Sus scrofa: one gene and its partners. The protein of the gene in region 3 interacts with the protein of the main gene of each other region in a pairwise test. Links are inferred from orthologs where the notes say so. Each region holds a gene or a part of one and is shown on either strand. Other genes may lie near its edges. The genes, in order: TMEM51, SLC35C2 and CREB3.

What was found.
Region 1: the proteins of CREB3 (region 3) and TMEM51 interact in a two-hybrid assay, tested with the Homo sapiens proteins (2 studies listed by BioGRID and IntAct). The two-hybrid records come from large-scale screens. The link is inferred for Sus scrofa from reciprocal best matches to the Homo sapiens genes CREB3 and TMEM51.
Region 2: the proteins of CREB3 (region 3) and SLC35C2 interact in a two-hybrid assay, tested with the Homo sapiens proteins (2 studies listed by BioGRID and IntAct). The link is inferred for Sus scrofa from reciprocal best matches to the Homo sapiens genes CREB3 and SLC35H1.

What each region holds. Positions count from the first base shown.
Region 1 is NC_010448.4:74,433,226-74,436,968, reverse strand, and holds the start of TMEM51 (transmembrane protein 51), read right to left. Parts: upstream 2,220-3,743; 5' UTR 1,999-2,219; intron 1-1,998.
Region 2 is NC_010459.5:48,518,520-48,522,162, reverse strand, and holds part of SLC35C2 (solute carrier family 35, member C2), read left to right. Parts: exon of another isoform or gene 1-297; intron 298-815; 5' UTR 816-1,057; coding exon 1,058-1,177; intron 1,178-1,673; coding exon 1,674-1,824; intron 1,825-2,839; coding exon 2,840-2,903; intron 2,904-3,569; coding exon 3,570-3,642; intron 3,643-3,643.
Region 3 is NC_010443.5:236,449,101-236,452,843, reverse strand, and holds the start of CREB3 (cyclic AMP-responsive element-binding protein 3), read right to left. Parts: upstream 2,272-3,743; 5' UTR 1,804-2,271; coding exon 1,789-1,803; exon of another isoform or gene 1,677-1,788; intron 1,586-1,676; coding exon 1,448-1,585; intron 1,343-1,447; coding exon 1,195-1,342; intron 1,119-1,194; coding exon 1,051-1,118; intron 935-1,050; coding exon 845-934; intron 1-844. UniProt on the Homo sapiens protein: Endoplasmic reticulum (ER)-bound sequence-specific transcription factor that directly binds DNA and activates transcription. Plays a role in the unfolded protein response (UPR), promoting cell survival versus ER stress-induced apoptotic cell death.

The DNA of each region.
Region 1 (3,743 bases), on a different chromosome or scaffold from region 3:
CAGAAGGATCTTCCTAACACATCAGCAGGATCAAATAACTCTCCTGCTTAAAGAATTGGAAGAGAATTTGTGTCTTGCTTTGTCTTGCTTGTTCAGTGGTCTGAGCGCCTAGAACAGTGCCTGGCCCACATAAGACATACAGTCAACCTGGTTCCGAGATGTCTCTTCATCACAAGTCCCTGCTGATCCAGTCCAGTTCCTCCAGCCCCTCCACTCCCTTGACTTCCCCCACCCTCCCACAAAACCACCCTCTACTACCTGAGCACCTCCCCTGGCCCAGCACCCCTTCATACGGCCACACCTTTGCCTGTGCTATTCCCATCTGCCCAGACACCCTCCCTGAGCCATCCCCCCACGACACTCCACTTCGATGTTTAATATACCAGCACTCTTTTCTTAGCAGGACCTCCTGGTGCACCTTCCCGAGTTACTTCCTCTCTTCTGTTCTTCTCTAACCCTGTACCATTGCTTCCTACAGAGCCCTTGCTCCGTGCAAGGCATGAAGGAAGGTAGTTTCCTGGGACCTACTGAGAAGTTCTGCTCTAAGCACCGGTGGAGGGTGCCTCTTTAGCCAAGCATTCGGAACCCTAGGTTATCACGCCCCTTGTACAGATGAAGAGACTGAGGCTCAGAGAGGCAGAGTGACAGCCCCCTGTGGGTGACTACACCACCATCTCTCTAAGACACTTGCCATTTACTATCCATTAGGCTGGGAGCTCTCTGAGGCCCCTTGGCCCTATATCCCCGGGGCCGGCCTGGCGCTGTGTGATACTTGAGAGGCCCACTGTCGGCTCAGGACGTCGTGAGCATCAGATGCACCAGGAGCGCTCTTCCCTTTCTCTTTTCTGCCTTTTCTCCCGTTCTGGGCAGGACCTTTGGGCAGCTGGCGAGGGACAGATGTGGAGGGCAAGGGGCTCCCTCTCAATTCCATTTATGACGTCTCCAACGTGTGAAAGCCTTTCACAGGTCCCAGAGCCGACCTCTGACCTTTTGCTAGCGACATGACCCCCTCAAAATGAAAGCCAGAAGCCAGCCTTTGAAAGCAGTGCCTCTGCCGCCGCCGGCCTCGGCGGCCTCCGGCCCCGCCCACCCAGCTCCGGCCCCGCCTCGGTTCCCCGCCCCCGGACCCCCGAGCGGTAAGGGAACGACTGGTCCAGGGACCACGAAGGCCTCTCAGAGCGCTGCACAAGTGCCCGCGGCCGACACCCCCCTGGGAGGACTCGAGAGGGACAGGGAAAACCGTAGGGACGTCTGGGCTTCCTGCACCCAGTCCTCTGGCTGGGAAAGATTTCTTTCCGCAAGTGACCATCCCTCTTAATCAGACTTGGCGTTCCCGGGCCACAGGCCTCCCCTCAAGGCGCAGACGAGAGATGTGATTTGGAGCTGGGTAGTCCTCGCTGTGCGGTAGGCACGAAGGCCCCACCTCCCCCCGGGAGATCATCACTCCCATTTTACAGACGAAGAAACCTGAGTTACACCCCGCTTTGCTACGCCCGATTGCTCACTCTTTGCCTCTAGTACCTAAAACACACGTACACACACATGCACGCGCGCTCGCGAATCTAAACCTCTTACAAGTCTCCATTTCCAAAAAGGAGAGTTGGGGGCAAGGGCTTATGCAGGCAGCGCCAGGGTAGTTTCCTGGGACCTACTGAGAAGTTCTGCTCTAATCACCGGTGGAAGGTGCCTCTTTAGCCAAGCGTTCGGAACCTGCCAGGCAGATGGCACCTGTCCCCGCCAACAGGGGGCCCGGAGGCCGGCTGCCTGCCCCAAGCGGAGGCCAGCTGGCCCCACCGCGATGCCGGGGAGGCGGGTGGTCCCGTACTGGCCCGCCGCGGCTTCAGAGGGTGCGAGTTCGGAGTCCTTCCGGCGCAGACACTGGCCGGGAAGCTCTCAGAAGAACCGAGAGGCAGACCCAGACTGCCGTCGACCCCCTCGGGGGCCCCGTGGGGAACAATCCCTCCGCGGGGCGCGGCGGGGAGGAAGGCGCAGACTCACCGGGGCGGCGGCGTCCAGCTCGGTCTCGGTCTGGAGGCGGGGGGCTGGGGGCTCCACGACCCCGGCCCCCCCAGGCTGCTTCCTTCGGGCGCCGCGATCCCGGGGCTGGAGTCTCGGCCGAGGGAGCACGGTGGCGGAGAGCGCGCAGCCACCCCTCCCCGGACCAGGATGGGGACGCAGGAAGCACCGCCGCGGAGCGCCGGCGTGCGGGAGGGAGGGACCGCGAGAGGCGGAGGGCGGTGCCGGCCCCGAGCCACCTCCCGCCCCAGAGGCACCGCCCACCGGCCGACCCTCCCCCAACTGGCCCTCGGCACCACCCGCCAGGCCTACGGCGCGGGGCCCCAGCCGAGCAGAGCCGGCACCCCTCCGTCACGTCGGCTGCGGGAGTGCGGACCGGGGGCTCTGGACCTAAGTCCAACCTCATCTCGGCCGCACAAAGTTGGCTAAACTGGCAGGGCGGGGCGGGTGGGGAGGGCTTGACCCCTGCCGCCGGGGGCCGCGGAATTGGAAGTGTGGGGCTGGGGCGGGGAGTGGTGTCTCGGCCGGGAATCTGAGTATTTAAGGGTTAAGGAGAGTGGAGAGACCCCCTCTCCCTACCAGATCCCGCGGCACGGGTGCGGAGGTAAAGCTCCGCGGGGCCGCCGCGCCTTTACCTGATCTAGCACTCACCTGGCCACCAAGAGCCCTGGCCAACCCCTCCTCATCCTCCCGGGGAGGCCGCCGCCTCCCTTTCCACCTTCGGGCAGGATCTGGGCACTGGGGACCGCCTGCACCGCCAGGAGCTGGTGCCTTGTGAGTTGACTGAGGTGATTGATGGGCGGAGGTAGGAAAGGAGGAAGCAGTTTTTGAAAAGCGAGTCAGCTCAGGCCCTCCACCGGGCTTCTCACCCTCCGGGTGCCCTGGGCGCGCTCTGGGTCGTACACCCGGGCCTTGGTGGGGTGGAGCCCATTCCAGGTGCCCGCGCCTGCGCACGTGATGAGGGCAACCTGGCTCTGGAACCTCCCCAGAGGGGGGCCCGTTCCCAGTTTGGCGGAGAACTTGCCCCAGGAGGCACCAGCTCGCGTCCTGCCCACCAGGTGGCTGGCGGGTGGCCGCCTCTGCTTAGAAGGGCAGAGCGGCTGCCCAAGGCCTGCTTCTGGAGAGGGTGATCCACTGCTGGGGAGGGCGTCTCTTACCTGCGGCTCTGCTTCTGCCCCATGCCTGGAGGTTGCCCTGGAACTGCTGCTGGGACCCAGCCTGATTCTGAACACAGAGCGGGGTGGTAGCCCCCGTCCTCTCTCAACTTAAACTTGTTTTGAATTCCAGGAGAGGTCAGGCTGGGGTCCCCTTCTCCGATGAGTGTCCAGCCCTTTGAAGTTCAGGTCCTGGGAAAGGCTGATAGGCAGCTGGCGGGGTATCAGAGAATCTGAGGACAGAAGGCGCCTCCTACTGGGAAGCTGCCCTGTCCAGGATGGAAAATAGATACCCTAGTGGTAATTGCAGTAAATTCACTTCCAAACAGGGCCTCATGGGTCACATGGTCCCCACAGGCCTATACCTACAGAGTGGTCGCAGGTGGGTATTTTTTCCCATTGCTGCTTCTTAACATTCAGGGTAACAGTTCAAAAGACCCTAGTGTCTACAAAGAGGTCAATTTGGGGCTGTCACGTGATTTGGTGCTGGGCGGGGGGGGGGGGGGGGGGGGGGAGGAAGAGGCATTTGAAGAAAGGAAGCAATGAGTCTCCATAAGTATAGCAATAACTGGG
Region 2 (3,643 bases), on a different chromosome or scaffold from region 3:
GCAGGGAGTGGTTTCCTTGGTTTCCTCTGGCCAGACCCTCAGGCAGGCACCGCCCCTATGGGAGTGGCTGTTAGAGGTGCTGGCAGAGGAGGTGTGGGTTTTCTGGTTCATTTTCAACGTCTAAAGACCAAATCAGTCTCCTGAAAATCACGTGCCCTCTCTCTTGCATTGCGCCGTCACACCATACGGGGAACGACCAGGGCGCCAGGTGGCTGTAAGCTAACGTGGCCGCTGGGGCTCCTGTCTGCGTGGAGCCCACAGCCTCCCGGGGGACCCAGCCGGTGCTCAGATCATCAGGTCTTGCACAAGTGCCATGGAGGAAAAGTAGGGGAGCAGGCCGTATCTCAGGGGGACCCATCAAGGGGCCGTGCTCCCTGAGGAAAGGACGTTTGAGCCGAAGATAAGAGGAAAGAATGAAGGCTGGGCTCCCTCCAGCAGCAGGAAAGGGCGGGTGTGTTTGGGGAAAGGAAAGCCCTCCAGCGGGGCTGGACAGGACTTCTTAGCTGCCAGAAGGGTTTTTGGTCTTTATCTTAAGAGCCCTGGAAATACCGAAGGAAGGGCTGCAGGCTGATCCAACATGATCAGATTTACATTTTTAAAAGGTCACTTTGGTGGAAATTCATGGAGAACAGCTTGAGGTGACAGGAGAGTGGCCATGATGGGGAGCTGTGAGCCTCTGGGCCAGAGGCGGGGCGGGCTCCTTCCGGGGGTCCTGCCCGCTCTGCTCAGGAGCAGGGCTGGGGAGTGACAAGTCCGGGGGGGGTCCCCCCCTCCCCGTTGCCAGAGCCACCGAACCGGCCTTTCCATCTTTCCAGCCTCAGCCCTGGGGTCCGGCGAACCGTGTATGCAGTGGATCATGGAGCGGGTCGGCTCAGGCCACCAGCCCCTTAGGTGAGGACAGTGCCTGGGGCTCAGCAGACAGTCCTGGATCATGGAGGCCGAGAGCGCGCCAGCCGGGAGACTTTCCTGTTGAGAGTCGTGGGCCCAGCTTGGCCGGCCGTCTTCAGGAGAGGCGCCGCCCCCACGGACCAGAGCTGGGGAGCTGCCGCTTCCGCGGATGGGGAGGTGGGCCCTCGACGTGGCCTTCCTGTGGAGGGCGGTGTTGACGCTGGGGCTGGTCCTTCTCTACTACTGCTTCTCCATCGGCATCACCTTCTACAACAAGTGGCTGACCAAGGTACCGCGGGGACCTCGCAGGGCCCAGGCCCCGGGGCGGGGGCGCCGCCATGGCCACAACGCCCCCCGATATTGACCAGCAGGAAGGCACGGGCCTCACCTAAGCAGACTGGAAGCCGGTCACGCCAGTGAGGGGACGGCCCTTAAATATTTGGATGGAGGGGAGATCAGGAAAGGGGGAGCCACCGAAGAGGAGCTGGGGACCCTCGGGGGCCTGAGGCAGCACAGGCCTGGCCTGGTAATGAGCTGCTCGGGCCATGCAGGTACTGCCTGGGAGGGGCCAGAGCAGGCAGCTTGGGGGCCTGTTGAAGTGACAGAGGTGGCACCAAGCTAGGCCTGCTGCTGCCTGCGTGACCTCCAGCGGTGGGGCGAGTGTAATATGGGTCAAGGCCCCTCATACGCTGCCGAGCCCTCCTCACTCCTCCGGCCGGTGGAGGTGGGGAGCCCTCGGGAGCTGGCGGGCTGTAAAGGCGCCCTCGTGCTCCGGCTGCCCGCAGAGCTTCCACTTCCCCCTGTTCATGACGATGCTGCACCTGGCCGTGATCTTCCTGTTCTCCGCCCTGTCGCGGGCCCTGGTTCAATGCTCCAGCCACAGGGCCCGCGTGGTGCTCAGCTGGACCGACTACCTCAGAAGAGTAGCTCCCACAGGTATGTGCCCACAGGCGGCTGGCCCCAGGGTGGAGGGGGCCGGATCCTGAAAGGAAAGCCAGAGGCCCAGAAAGGAAGCTTGCGGGCTTGAAGCTTAGGCCCTCCCCCTTGCGCTCCCACCCCCACCTCCACCCCTGACTCCCTCCCATCCTCCCTCCCACTTCCTCCCTCCACCCCCAGCGCCCCAGAGGCTCTGCTGCGCCTCAGCTAGCAGTTCCCTCACCCTTGTGCATGCACGTGCCCTGAGCGGGCACCACAGCCTGGAGATGGCAGTGAGCAGAGCCTAGTCCCTGCCCTCGTGTGCAAGGGGATGCTGGGGAGATTGGGAGGGAAGTGGCACACCTGAGTTGCCGTGGGGGGAGGCGCTGGGAGAGTGTGGTGCCAGGGGCATGGTGGGGGGGTAGGTCTGAAAGTGCCCCAGATGCTGAGAGGAGGTGAGAAGAAAGGCGAACTGAGAGGGGTCCAGGGTCAGATCCTGGAGGACCGGGTCCTCCGAGAGCAGCAGCGAGCAGCGAGCATGTGTTTCATTCTGAGGCAGGTGGGAGCCATTCTGAAGAGTTTGCCAGTAAGGGCTCGGCAAGATCAGGTTAACGCCCCTCCCCTCTCCCGGGGGACATTCAAAACTGTCAACAAGTGGGGACCACACAGGTCCCAGCCATTCAGAGTAGACTGCCACCTGCCCTCGTGCTGGAGCAGCCCCCTCCCCTTTTGGGAAGTCTGGGGTTAACCCTCCAGTAACTGGGTGGAGGAGTCCCCTGGTGGCTCAACGGGTTAAGGATCCACCACTGTCCCTGCCTTGGCACAGGTTTGATCCCTGGCCCAGGGAACTTTCGCATGCTGCAGGCACGGCCAAGAGTTAACTGGGTAGAAAGGAGGGCTCATCAGCCCCAGAGAGAGCCAGGGCATCCAGGCCAGAACGGGACACTCAGGCACCTCAGAGAAGTGTGTGCGCCGCTGGCACATCTGTTCCGGCCTGGCCTGGCTGTGGTCCCACGGGTGCCCCATGTCTCCACAGCACTGGCGACAGCGCTCGACGTGGGCTTGTCCAACTGGAGCTTCCTCTATATCACCGTCTCGCTGTGAGTACCGGTGCCGCCCGCCTGCCACCTGCCTTGGGGCTCAGGCACACAGCTACCCGGCCAAGGGGCCAAGGGGCCAGGGGGCGGGTCTAGGATGGGCCCTTGCTCGCTCCGCCCCCCTGGCTCCCAGCAGCTCTCCTGGAAGTCACGGCCTCTGCAGAAAGCTGGCACAGAGGGGACGCTGTGCCTCCCTGCCAGGAGGCCCAGGCAAGCCCGGGGCTCAGCCAGCATTGTGACAGGGCAGGGGACAGAGGGGCACGGGGCGGGGGTGGGGGCAGGTGGCAGCTATTTCTTCCAGCTGATTCTGCGCTTCAGCGAGCACAGTCTCTGCCTTCTCTTTTCCCCGCTTCTCCTGCCCCCACCCGCCAGGGTAGGTGAATAATGGGGCTCTAAGCTCAATGTCAGACCTGCAGCTTTTGTTCCCTGGTAATAATCAGAGGCCTCTTAGTCAGAGATTTCTTGCGATGAAAGGTCACCTATCAACCCAGAAGACCTGGGCTGCCTTCCTTTGGTCTTTTGTATCCTGGTTACCCTGCTGCCCTCAGGAAAGTCAGGGGTCTCCCCCCCGGCCCTTTCCAGCCCACTGATTGTGCCGTGGGCGCCTCTCTTGGCAGTGGTTGGGCGCGCGGGCTCCAGCAGTGCATCGTGGGTAATTTTCCCTTCCAGGTACACAATGACCAAGTCCTCGGCTGTCCTCTTCATCCTGATCTTCTCTCTGATCTTCAAGCTGGAGGAGCTGG
Region 3 (3,743 bases):
CTGTCAGGAGACGTGTTTCTACAATCTTTTCTTAGCCTCTTTGCTTCTATTTTCTATGCTGAAAATTCCATTTTGTCCTGCTTTACTTAACCCCATATTCCAGCTTGAAAAACAGTCACCATGCTAGTAAATAATTTAAGCTTAAGAACAAAGACCAAAAGGCATAAGTATTCACGTGGTCAGCTGAATGAGGACATAATGCGTTGGTCTAGGCATGCAGTTTGCACAGCATGATACGTCCTGTTAAAATAAGAGGAAGAGGCGCCTCAAGGCCCCAGGGGGTTTATGAGCGGTCGTTAGCAGAATATGCATCAGCAAGGAGGTACAAACCTAGGCATGCCAGGTTGCAGCAGATAGGCATGCTGTCTGTGGAAGCACAATGATAATTCTCTAGGTGCTATGCACAGAGAGCTAATATCCAGCTTCTTCAATGCTAGTGATTGTTAATGCCTAAAGGTCAGAATAAAAGCTTAACCAGCTACCAGCTATGTGACTTTTAAAATAATAAAAGAACTATGTCCTGCACCTACAACCCCCTCCTCACTTGATGTAATCCTAAAGAGCACAATAAAAGCAGTGTGGTTTCTTGAGGCACTGCTCTTGGTCCCTGAGACCTTGAGTCCCCCAGTTCCCACCCGCAATTAAGATAAATGTCTCTGTGTCTTGTTTTATGCTAACTTTTTCTCAAGTTTTACAGCACCCGTTCCTCAGCCCTTACCTGCGAAGCTGGACTCAGCATCTCGCCTCAGTCCTTTCTCAAGTTACTGATATAAAATTAACAGAGTCAGCCTACTAGGGACTTAACCCCTGCATCCAGTCTTTGCTCCTCGAATGGGAGTCTTACCTTAGTGAGAGGAAGTGTCCCGGGCAGAGTAAGCCCCTCCTTCTCCAAAAGCCTCTTCTCCTCCTCCGTCAGTATCAGCTCACCAATCTCCTGGGGTTCCAAGAGGTGGGCAGCACAGGTGCAAGAGGGTGTCAGAGAGAAATTCGGACTCCTGCCCCAACCCGGTCAATGTGGGAATAATCGTCCTGTAAACCAAGTCAAGTTACCTGCTCTGCGGGCGCCTCCACACGCAGGGAAGTCATTTGGGCCCCTTCCTTCTCATAATCCTCATTATCTGCAAGAGGGAAAGTATAAACAGCCAGGTCCATAGTCCCCTCCCCTCCCCCAAACTTCACCTCTATCAGACTCACCTAGATCTATGGAGACATACTCCTGTGACAGGGAATAGGTGTGATCATGGTGGACAAGATAGGGGTCAGAGTGGCTAAAATCGGTCAACGATGCTGGGGGACTCGACAGGCAGCTCAGGAAATCCTCTACGTCCCAATCGCTCAATGCCTGCCCAGGGTTCAGATTAACAGACTTTGACTGATCACCACCCCCTGCCTCAGAGACACCCCTCCATCCCGCCCGGGGCCTCCCGGACTCAGAGCCCCCCCCCACCTCGGAAAGTGGTAGCTCCCAATCCAGGGGCGCCTCCAAGGCTTCGTCCCGCGCCGCCCCCAGACCTCCGCTTTCCTCTAACAGGAAGCCCAGCAAGTCATCGTCACCCGAGTCCAACCCCAGCTCCATATGAGACATCTACGGAAAGGATGAGCAGAAACACAGAAGTACACCCGGAGTCAACTCCCAACCCCACGCACGACTCCCACCGATCGTCAGTGGGCCACACCTATGGGCTCCGCAAGCGGGGTTTTCCTCCTGGATGCCGGAGGTGGCTCACAAACCCGACCCGCCTCCCAGCCTGAGTCTTAGCCACTTCCAACACCACACAAGTGACGCACCGAGCCCTGAGGCATCCCGGGACTTGGAGTTCCCCGGACGCGGAAGTGGCCTTGGTGCACGCCACGTCCCGGGCACTATGCAAATAGAGGGGACGTCCTTGCCAGCCCCTCACTCCCCGAGGGCGGGCATTCCGGCGAGCCGCCTCCGCCTCCGCCTCCGCCTTCGCCCCGGGCTAGGAAAAGGAAGGACTACCGCGCAACCGGGACCTCGGGCCCAGCTCGGGCGTCTTCTTGGGATTGCGCCGCACCCTCGCTTCCTGCCGGGGAGGGGCTGCGGGTCTTCGGCCGGCTCCTGAGCATCGAGATCTGGGGCCAGAGCAGCTTCCTGCGGTCCCCGCAACCATAGAGCGCGGGCCCAGGGCGCCGCCCGCGGGCGGGGGACGTTCCCGGACGGAAGTGGCCGAGAGTGTCGAAGGGAGGGCGAGGCCGGAGCCCGAGAGCCACCGGGAGAACGAGCGGGTTAGCGGGCCGGCGGGCGGGGCGCAGAGCCGGGCAGCGCAGGTAGGCCGGTCTGCCGCGAGCGGGGCCTCAGGGTGGGGCCGCAAGGCCGGGCCCGGGAGGCGGGCGGGGCCCCTGACTTGACTGCGTCTCCTGTTTCGGGTCCTGTTGGAGAGGTCAGCGTCCAGTGTCTCTCGGCTTGGGCTGGGAGTTCAAGAGGCCTTTTTGCGGGAGGCTTTTCTGCTCCCTTGCTGGGAGCAGCCCCCTGTCTGGGATAGGTTTGGGGGAGGGTGAAGAGTGGGTGGCAGTGCGACGCAGGGCGGGGATCGGCTTTGAGGTTGGCTGATGGCGGGTATGTGGGTAGGAGCGCCCTGGGTGGGTTGGGGATTAGGTGGTATTGGGTTTAGGAGCCAAGGTTAGCTTTAGGGGTTTAAATTTCGAGTTATGAGCGTGAGTCAGGTCCGTTTTGGGTAGGTAAAGTTTGGATTAAGGACATTATTTTGTGTTCTAGGATGGTCAGCCTAAGCCAGAGTTAGAGTCCAGGGTCGGGTTAAGGGTCAGCAGCAGGAACGGCGCTCGAGATCCAGTTTTAGGCATTAGAGACCGTTGGCATAGCCAGTGTTAGGGGTAAAACGGGGAAGGAGTGACTCAGGAATCAAGTGACACATGATCTTTAGGTTCAGGGGTCAAGCTCTAGGGGTAAGGTTGGGATTTGGTGCTAAAGGTAAAATTTAGATCAAAATTAGGGATCAGGGATTGGATTCAAGTGTCTGCTGGGAAAGAGCTGAATGTTAAAGCCAGTATTGGGCATCAGGAGACAAATTGGGATCGGGGTTAATGTTGGGAACTAAGGACAGTTTTAGGGGTTATAGGCTGAGGTCAGGGTAGGTGACCTCAGGCAGGTAAAATTTAAGAGATTGGCAGGTGCTCTTTTTTTTTTTTTTTTTTTTTTTTGCAGGGAGGGCTCTTGTTTCTCTGTCGCCGTGGGGGCTTCTTTGGCGCAGAGAAATGATAAACTGATTACAGGGTAGGGTTCTGAGCTTCAGCTAGAATTGCAGGCATCTGGGATTCCAGCTGCATTGTACTCTCTAAGCCCAAGGCTCTTGCTGTGGCCACCACAGGTGAGGGGCAGGGGTTCCTGGACCATGTTATTTACAAGGTAGGAGGTGGGAAGGTGTTAGGGACCCAGGAGATGTGCTAGGCTTCATAGTAAATGGGGGACTATCTAGGGGAGAGGGGCCTGGTGGGTCAGTTAAGGGAAAGGCCGGCCAAGGAAGCTTGCCATGGGAGAAGGGGATGGCTTAATCCTCTAGAGTTCAGTCCTACTGCCTCCCCGTTCCCTCACTCCCTAGATGCTAAGCCTTCCTCTGCAACTCTCCTCCCTGGCCCTGCAGTTCACGCCCAACCCGTCATGCATACCCACTTTCAGAATACTCCGCTTGCCTTTAACACTCCCGTGGTGTTCATCTTATCATCTGTCTCAGCCTGCCTTCGGCCTCCCTTCCCATCTCTTAATC